Nothobranchius furzeri: one gene and its partner. Each later gene encodes a partner of the first gene's protein in a complex. Links are inferred from orthologs where the notes say so. Each region holds a gene or a part of one and is shown on either strand. Other genes may lie near its edges.

Region 1 (3,817 bases):
ACTCGCGGGAGAACTTGGTCCTCTTCTTCTTGTGTTTCCTCTTGAGGTTGCGGATGGAGAGCGGGATGCTCTTTTTGCGGTTTGTTCCCAGACCGCCGCTCTGAGAGGATGCCGTGGAGCTGGCTGAGGACGTCAGAGAGCTGCAGAAAGATTCAGACACACACACACACACACACACATCGTTTTTCTTTATAACTGATGTTTAATGTTAGAAAAGGTCACACCCCCCACGTTAGGAGCTTCCTATGCTCAGATCTTTTAAACCAGACTAAACTGGACTCCATATTTAAAGTGGTCCCCACAGACCTGGTGTCGTCCGTGTCCTCTCCAGCCTCGTCATCGGCGTCCTGCTCCCCGTGCGCGGCATCACTGGTGTTCTGAGAGTCCGGCGGGTTCTGAGCGGGGCTCACCGGGCCGTTGGGCTGAGACGAGTCGGTCTGATCAGACTTGTGCTCTGCTGAATTTGCTTCATCCAGTTAAAATTTAAATTAGAAGGAAATACAAACACTAAAGTCAGCATAAGGACAGGAAACGTGTCTCTACTCTGCAGCTAAACTTTCACACACACCCCTCTGTAACGGCCGAGTGTGTGTGAGGAACGAGCTGCTGGTGTTAGGAGGACAAAACAAAAACTACAGCGCTTTCATGATCTGATTGTAAACACCTTCTGAGTCGGCGTTTTCTGTCTTCTTCCCAGAATCCTTCTTGAACATCCTTTTAAGCTGCAGAAAACACAAAGAGTAAATTAGCCTGTAAACCCAAACGGACCCAGGTCTCATTGTTAAATCATCGACGTGCTTCTGTTCCTAGGGATGGGTACCTTTGACATTTGAATCGATCCGGTACTAATTCCAGGTACCTAGGAATCGATACCGGTACTTAACGGTACCAATTTTAGATACTTTTGAGTGTTTATCATTTTAATTCTCTTTTATAATTAAATATATATTTTTCTCAATATATAACCATATTTGATAAATATCACGATAAATAACATTCAACTGTTTGTATTTTAACATTGTCCTTGTAGTTTTACAAGCTGATAATTAAACTGAAGCAAACATCTTTACTGTGAACTAAATTTACTGTGTATCTTCATTCCTTTTGCCGTCTTTTTTCATTTGATTTTTCCTACTGGGAAGTTAGAATTTCCGAGGAGAAAGCGAACGCACCATTAGCTGATAACAATGGTGGCAATGGAAGCTAACATATCAAGCTAACGTTATCTTAAACAGTTTATTTAACTGCTGGAGCAGATTAAAACGATGATGCCTCACACTTAGATCGTTGTCGCTGGTTTCATCTTCACCCAATCACCCGTCGCATTTAGTAAAGTGAAGCCAAACTTTAGAGCGCGTTCATGTTCTAGTCGAAAAATCGGAGTTCCGAGGAGAAAGCGAACGCACCATTAGTGAAACGGAAGCTAACATATCAAGCTAACGCTATCTTAAACATTTTATTTACCTACCGGAGCAGATTAAGATGAGGATGTCTCACTTAGATCGTTGTCGCTGGTTTCATCATCACCCAGTTACCCATCACATTTAGTGAAGTGGACCCAAGCGTTAGCGTGCGTTCTTTCTACCATGCTGCTCCGTTTACAACTGGCTCGCAGCGACCGATGACATAACGCTCTTGCGCATGCGCAGCTGTCTAGGCAAGTTCTCGTTATGAAGGACGGGTACCGAAACGAGGCACCGTTTGAAACGACGTGAATCGGTGCTCGGTCGGTACTATGGAATTCGGTCGGTACCTTAAAAAGTACCGAATTCGGTACCCAGACTGTTCCACATCTTGAACACAAATATTTAAAAATCTAAAATGTGTCAGCAGCACCTTTCTAGCAACGGGGTCCTCCAGCGGAACATGAGCACCCTCAGGTCCGTCGCAGATGATGCGCGTGACGTCGCCTTTGGCTGGAAAGATGTAGAGGGCCCTTTCCCCCAGCTGCCTCTGCGTGTGGTCGTAGTAGCCCAGACGTCTCACCCTAGAAGCAAACATCACATTCAGTAGGCTGGCCTGGACCCACAAAGGTCCGACTCTGATGAAGCGGATGCCGAATGAGACCGAGTGGACTGACCGCTGCAGGTCTTCCTGCGCGATGGTGGAGGGAGGTGGGTAAACACCATCTGAGCCTTTTGGGGAGTAGCTCTTTGTGATCCAGGTGACTTTTAACTCCACCACCTGCACCTGGGGGGGGGGGGGGGGGAGCACAAGTCTCCAAGTCAGCATTAAAAACATAAGAACCGGCGCTACCTGGAAGCTGAACAGGGAGGAAAAGGAGACGTATGTTAAAGTAAGAGTTGTCAGGTTACATGAGTGCGGATTTACCTCCTCCACCACAACTCTGAACTTGCATTTCCTGCTCAGGACGGGTTTGACCCCCGACAGCCACTGGACATTAGAGAAGACTTTGGCGGGACCGATCAGGACCTGGCCCGGGTAAAAACCGTACGCCTCGTCAAAGAACAGACCCTAAAGATAAAAACAGCACAGACACAACTCAGACCAGCTCTTCATGGTTCCACAGCAGAATAGTCAAGGATGGTTCTGAGCACCACTTTAACCTTAGACCGACATCTTAGATCCAAATATCTCCGGCTTTGTTCTCCCCTGAAGTGAAGAACAGGTCTCCTTCCAGGAAGAACCAACTAAACAACTTCTAACAAAAACTTATTTTTCGATGCTAAATGAAAAATTACAGTTTACACCACCATGAAGCTGAAAATAATCCGTCGTCCTAAATCAGGTTGCTCCCCACAGAGCAGAGAAAGTACTCCAAAGAGACCTGGACGTCAGTAGAAGACGGGAGCTTCAGGCTACGTACCGAGTCACTGACGTGTGGACAGACATCGTAAAGCTTGGCACCGTCTTCCACACTCATGGAGCACCTGGACAGGGGGCAGATGGTGAGTCTGACCTGGCATGCTCTAACGCTCTGACACACACACACACACACACACACACCTGGCTCCGTTAGACAGCTTGAGGATGATGTGATTGGTCAGGTCGTACACTTTGCCCAGCCAGAAGTCATAGGCTATGTAGTCTCCGTACATAAAAGACTAAAAACAAATAAAGATCATGTTAGTTTCACCAGGTTATTCATGAGCCTGCAGGACAGTGCGTGCGTGCGCGCACGTGCGTGTGTGTGTGCGTGCGTGTGTCTCACCCAGATGTGCTGCAGGTCTCTGCTGTTCACTGGATACAGAACACAGCTGGTTCCCACCAGCTTCACGGCACATTCAATGTCAATGTTGGTCACAATACCACACTGGTTGTCCTGAAATACAACACACACACACACACGCACGCACGCACACACAATGATCAATAGCAATGTGAATCGATGACATCATAGTGAAAGATTAGTGATTTTTCAGTAACATCAAAGACTGTCAGACTTCACTTACACACGAGTTGTTCCGTCTCACAATGTCTCTGATGACGATTGATCGATCTTCTAGTTTCAGCTGTGGAGAAAAGACAAAAAGGCGGAGAAGGTTGGTTAACTTCTCACTGATGTCATTTCCTTACAAACGAATCAGCCGAGGGTCTGAAGCTCAAACTGGACGTGGTTTCCTGGCAGCAGGAAGAGGACAGAAGCTACGGACATTAACCTGGCAACAACTCGGCTCCCAGTAGGAACCTAGTGCAATACTGCCGTCTCACTGAAGTGTGTGCGCCAGCACCGGGTAAGAAACAGGTCCGGCGCCGGGACAGGAACAGGTACAGTGAGCAAAGACAATTGAGCTTAAAGTAAAACAAACAAGGATTCACAAATAGATAAAAACAAATGATAAGAACACTAGACTAA
Region 2 (3,817 bases), on another chromosome or scaffold:
GACCTGTTCCCAGTGAGGGTTGGACTCCGCCAGGACTGCCCTTTGTCACCAGTTCTGTTCATCACTTTTATGGACAGAATTTCTAGACGCAGCCGTGGTGTGGAGTGTGTCGAGTTTGGTGGCAGGAGAATCTCGTCTCTGCTTTTTGCGGATGATGTGGTCCTCCTAGCTTCATCCAGCTCTGACCTTCAGCTCTTGCTGGGTAGGTTCGCGGCCGAATGTGAAGCGGCTGGGATGAGGATCAGCACCTCCAAATCTGAGACCATGGTTCTCGACCGGAAAAGGGTGGCTTGCCACCTCCGGGTCGGGGGAGGGGTCCTACCTCAAGTGGAGGAGTTTAAGTATCTCGGGGTCTTGTTCACGAGTGAGGGTAGGAGGGATCGGGAGATCGACAGGCGGATTGGTTCGGCGTCTGCAGTGATGCGGACGCTGAGCCAATCTGTCGTGGGGAAGAGGGAGCTGAGCCAGAAAGCCAGGCTCTCGATTTACCGGTCGATCTACGTCCCAATCCTCACCTATGGTCATGAGCTTTGGGTAATGACCGAAAGAACGAGATCGCGGATACAAGCGGCCGAAATGAGTTTCCTCCGTAGGGTGGCCGGGCTCAGCCTTAGAGATAGGGTGAGGAGCTCGGACATTCGGGAGGGACTCGGAGTAGAACCTCTGCTCCTCCGGATCGAAAGGAGCCAGTTGAGGTGGTTTGGGCATCTGGTCAGGATGCCTCCTGGACGCCTCCCCGGGGAGGTGTTTCGGGCATGTCCTGCCGGCAGAAGGCCCCCGGGTCGACCCAGGACACGTTGGAGAGGTTACATCTCCAATCTGGTCCGGGAACGCCTTGGGGTCCTGCCGGAGGAGCTGGTGGACAAGGCTGGGGAGAGGACGGCCTGGAGCTCCCTAGTTGGGATGCTGCCCCCGCGACCCGGACCCGGATAAGCGGAGGAAGACAAGACGAGAGGAGGCTATCGTTAGCTTGCCTTGTGTTGACTGTAGAGTTGTGGGTGATGGTCATGCAGATGTGTCATGAGATTTGAAGCGTTGCTGCCTTTCACAGACACTTTTTCTGCACGTGCTGCAAACAGGATAGCCGTCTTCTATCAACTGTCCCTCGGCATTCTTCAAATATCCAAAAAATGACCGTACTTCCCACTTTGTCTTCTTTGAGGGATAAAAAATGTCCTGAGTGCTGCCGTCTCCTCCTTTGACCATTATTTCAGCTTTAGCTTCAAGAAGGTTGTAAACAACAAAGTGCGCATGTGCCGCCGGCAACTTCAGCAGATGATACGGTGGCTGGTAAGGGTCACCGCGCCTACACCGCAGCCACGGTAATCCACCGAGATAATATAGTTTTTTTTTAAAAACAAGAATTATTATTGCCAACTTTTTTACCGGGGTTTACCGCTACACAGGTTACCGTGACAACCCTAAACCAGAGTTGAGATGTTCCTCACTCACATCGTCATCGTCATCCTCGATGGCCTCCCCCGTGAAGTACAGCACAGCTCTGGGTACGATGCGCTCCCGGATGAAGTGGCCGATTTCAAAGTCTGCTGTTAGAACCGCTTCAGAGTCCTCATCCTGAAGGCAAACACATCAGCCACCTTTTATTAATCACCTAACATCAAATGGTAACTATGCATTTGTAGAACAACCACAAACTGGTGATGAAGATCAGGTTTCCCTCCAACACAACCCACATGTTTGATCAGTCTCTGGATTTCACAAACTTAAAGATGATCAAGAGTTTTGATTTTAATAACCTTCCAATTAGGCAAAGTTAAACACTTGCAACCATAACCGGCGCTGCAGTCACACACTGATCACCTTTAGGGCTGAAAAACTCGTCACCAGTAAAGAAACTTTGCAATAAAAACACAAACTCACCAGTTCTCCATTTTCTGGGACTGTGAAGAGAGAAGATGGATCAAGTTATTAGTAGAAGAGTTATGAGTGTAAACATCAACAGGGATGCTCCACCCTTACCTTCCGGTGGGCTGAAGAAGTTAAAGAAGGAGTCGTTGGGGACAGTTTTGGTGACCGTCCTCACGGTCCCGCGACCCTTGTGCTTTTGTTTCTTCTTGATTGTTTTCAATGTGACGTTCTTTCCCTTTGTCCAGTCAATCGTGCAGCTGCAGGAAAACAAAAAGACAAGATGGCATCAGCTCATCTGCACTACAGAGAACAGCTTCACGACTCAACGGTGACGCAGTGGACTCACCCTGTGCAACTCATGATCTCTGGTCCATCAAAGGAGAACGGGTCGCTTTCGTCTGGTTCCGACCTCATTTTGTAGACTTTTGTTAACACTGTATTTGTAAAGAACTCATTGGGCTCAAAGTGGAACTCTAATGTGAAGCTCTGAATGAAAAACAAAAGCCCAGTTAAGCAGTTTGCTGTCCAACTACTGAAGTTTCGTCCATCTGAGGCAAAGACTCACCATCGGCTGTCCTGGATCGGAGAATTTTACTTTAATATCTTGTAAATGTTTTAGGATGGGTTCATCGTGTTCCTGGGGAGGGAACAAAGAAACGGGCAGCTTTAGAAGATTTTGGCTAACACGGACAGGCTTGTGCAAACTTCTGCCAGCAGGTGGAACCAGATCTGGTTTCTCTGTGTGAGGCGTCAGCAGCAGCTGGTGTCTGTGACAAGACTTTCTGTTCCTCTGCTGGAGTGGCTAAACCCACCTGCAGCATGTCGCTGAGCAGGTCCACATTTTTGAAAACCGTTGACCAGAACTCTGGGATGCCTTTGGGGTCTTCCTTCTCCTCGTCCTTCTTCTCTTCCTCCAACTTTGCCTTCTCCTTCATCTCATCCTGAGCGAGACAGAACATTTATTTTTAAAACGAGGCTTGGCCACATTTCACGTCGCAGTATGAAGGCGTGGACACATCAACGCTGCCTCCGTTAAAACAGTTTTATAAAAAAATTAAAAAGCTCTGCAAACATTCCAGGAATAACTCCTAAAGCTGCACAGAAGCTAAGTGAAGTAAAACAGTTCAGACAAAGCATGCAGGTATACGTCACCTGTACCTGCTTACTTACTGTCAGCTCTTCCTCCTCATCTGCCTTCCATTCACATTCCTCATCTGTGGGCTCATAAGCTGCTGACACGATCTCACTTCTCTGGAAGAGAAATCGGGTGAACATCATCAGGTTAGTGGAAACAAACGATGCGTGCATTTAAATATCATACAAACCATGTACAAAGCCAATCTAGGTACTCTGCCAACAAACATTCAGGGGATATTTGAAAAGAGAACTAGTAATTACGTGCTGAAAGAAACTGATGTGTTTACAAAAGCTAGATTTAGAACTAAAGTGAAGGAGTGGAATATATCTGTAATTGGTGTTAAATTATGGAATAACCTTAAAAGGGAAATTAAAAGACTGTCATTTAATATATTCAAAAAATGTATCAAATAGTGTACTAAATAATTATGAAAATGTAAATTAAATCAATGATCATGATCACACTGGAATTTAGAACAGGAAAAAGATTAAAATGAATGTGTATGTGTGTCTGACAAATGGTAATTATATATAAATTAATTATTTCTACTGGAAAAGGTTGCAGAAATTATAAGAAGTTTTTCTTTATTCTGCTCCTTTTCGTTCAAATTTGATTTTTTTGTTATGTATTTATGTTTATGTATTTAGCAGACGCTTTTGTCCAAAGCGACTTACAAGTGATAATCGGCATGTGGCCCTTGAGGCTAACAACAACAATAACAACAACTTGACATCAATCATTTTTATATGTTTTATTTTGAATGAAATAAATAAATCCAAATGAAAAACAAGGCAGAGGTTGTTGGTTAAA

Evidence for each region.
Region 2: the proteins of ube2o (region 1) and nap1l1 are in contact, whole or in part, in a cryo-EM structure (PDB 7UN6), measured with the Homo sapiens proteins. The link is inferred for Nothobranchius furzeri from reciprocal best matches to the Homo sapiens genes UBE2O and NAP1L1. Residues at the interface, in NP_071349.3 of Homo sapiens: Ser225, Asn226, Val282, Lys283, Pro284, Val285, Lys289, Ser290, Lys291, Phe292, Arg293; in NP_001317160.1 of Homo sapiens: Arg333, Arg337, Thr343, Gly344, Glu345, Ala346, Ile347, Asp349.

What each region holds. Positions count from the first base shown.
Region 1 is NC_091747.1:74,405,694-74,409,510, forward strand, and holds part of ube2o ((E3-independent) E2 ubiquitin-conjugating enzyme), read right to left. Parts: intron 3,474-3,817; coding exon 3,414-3,473; intron 3,284-3,413; coding exon 3,173-3,283; intron 3,066-3,172; coding exon 2,968-3,065; intron 2,892-2,967; coding exon 2,828-2,891; intron 2,476-2,827; coding exon 2,332-2,475; intron 2,191-2,331; coding exon 2,081-2,190; intron 1,988-2,080; coding exon 1,837-1,987; intron 723-1,836; coding exon 665-722; intron 467-664; coding exon 307-466; intron 141-306; coding exon 1-140. UniProt on the Homo sapiens protein: E2/E3 hybrid ubiquitin-protein ligase that displays both E2 and E3 ligase activities and mediates monoubiquitination of target proteins. Negatively regulates TRAF6-mediated NF-kappa-B activation independently of its E2 activity.
Region 2 is NC_091741.1:58,529,404-58,533,220, reverse strand, and holds part of nap1l1 (nucleosome assembly protein 1-like 1), read right to left. Parts: intron 3,121-3,817; coding exon 3,028-3,120; intron 2,811-3,027; coding exon 2,682-2,810; intron 2,507-2,681; coding exon 2,435-2,506; intron 2,356-2,434; coding exon 2,216-2,355; intron 2,127-2,215; coding exon 1,981-2,126; intron 1,902-1,980; coding exon 1,882-1,901; intron 1,576-1,881; coding exon 1,453-1,575; intron 1-1,452. UniProt on the Homo sapiens protein: Histone chaperone that plays a role in the nuclear import of H2A-H2B and nucleosome assembly.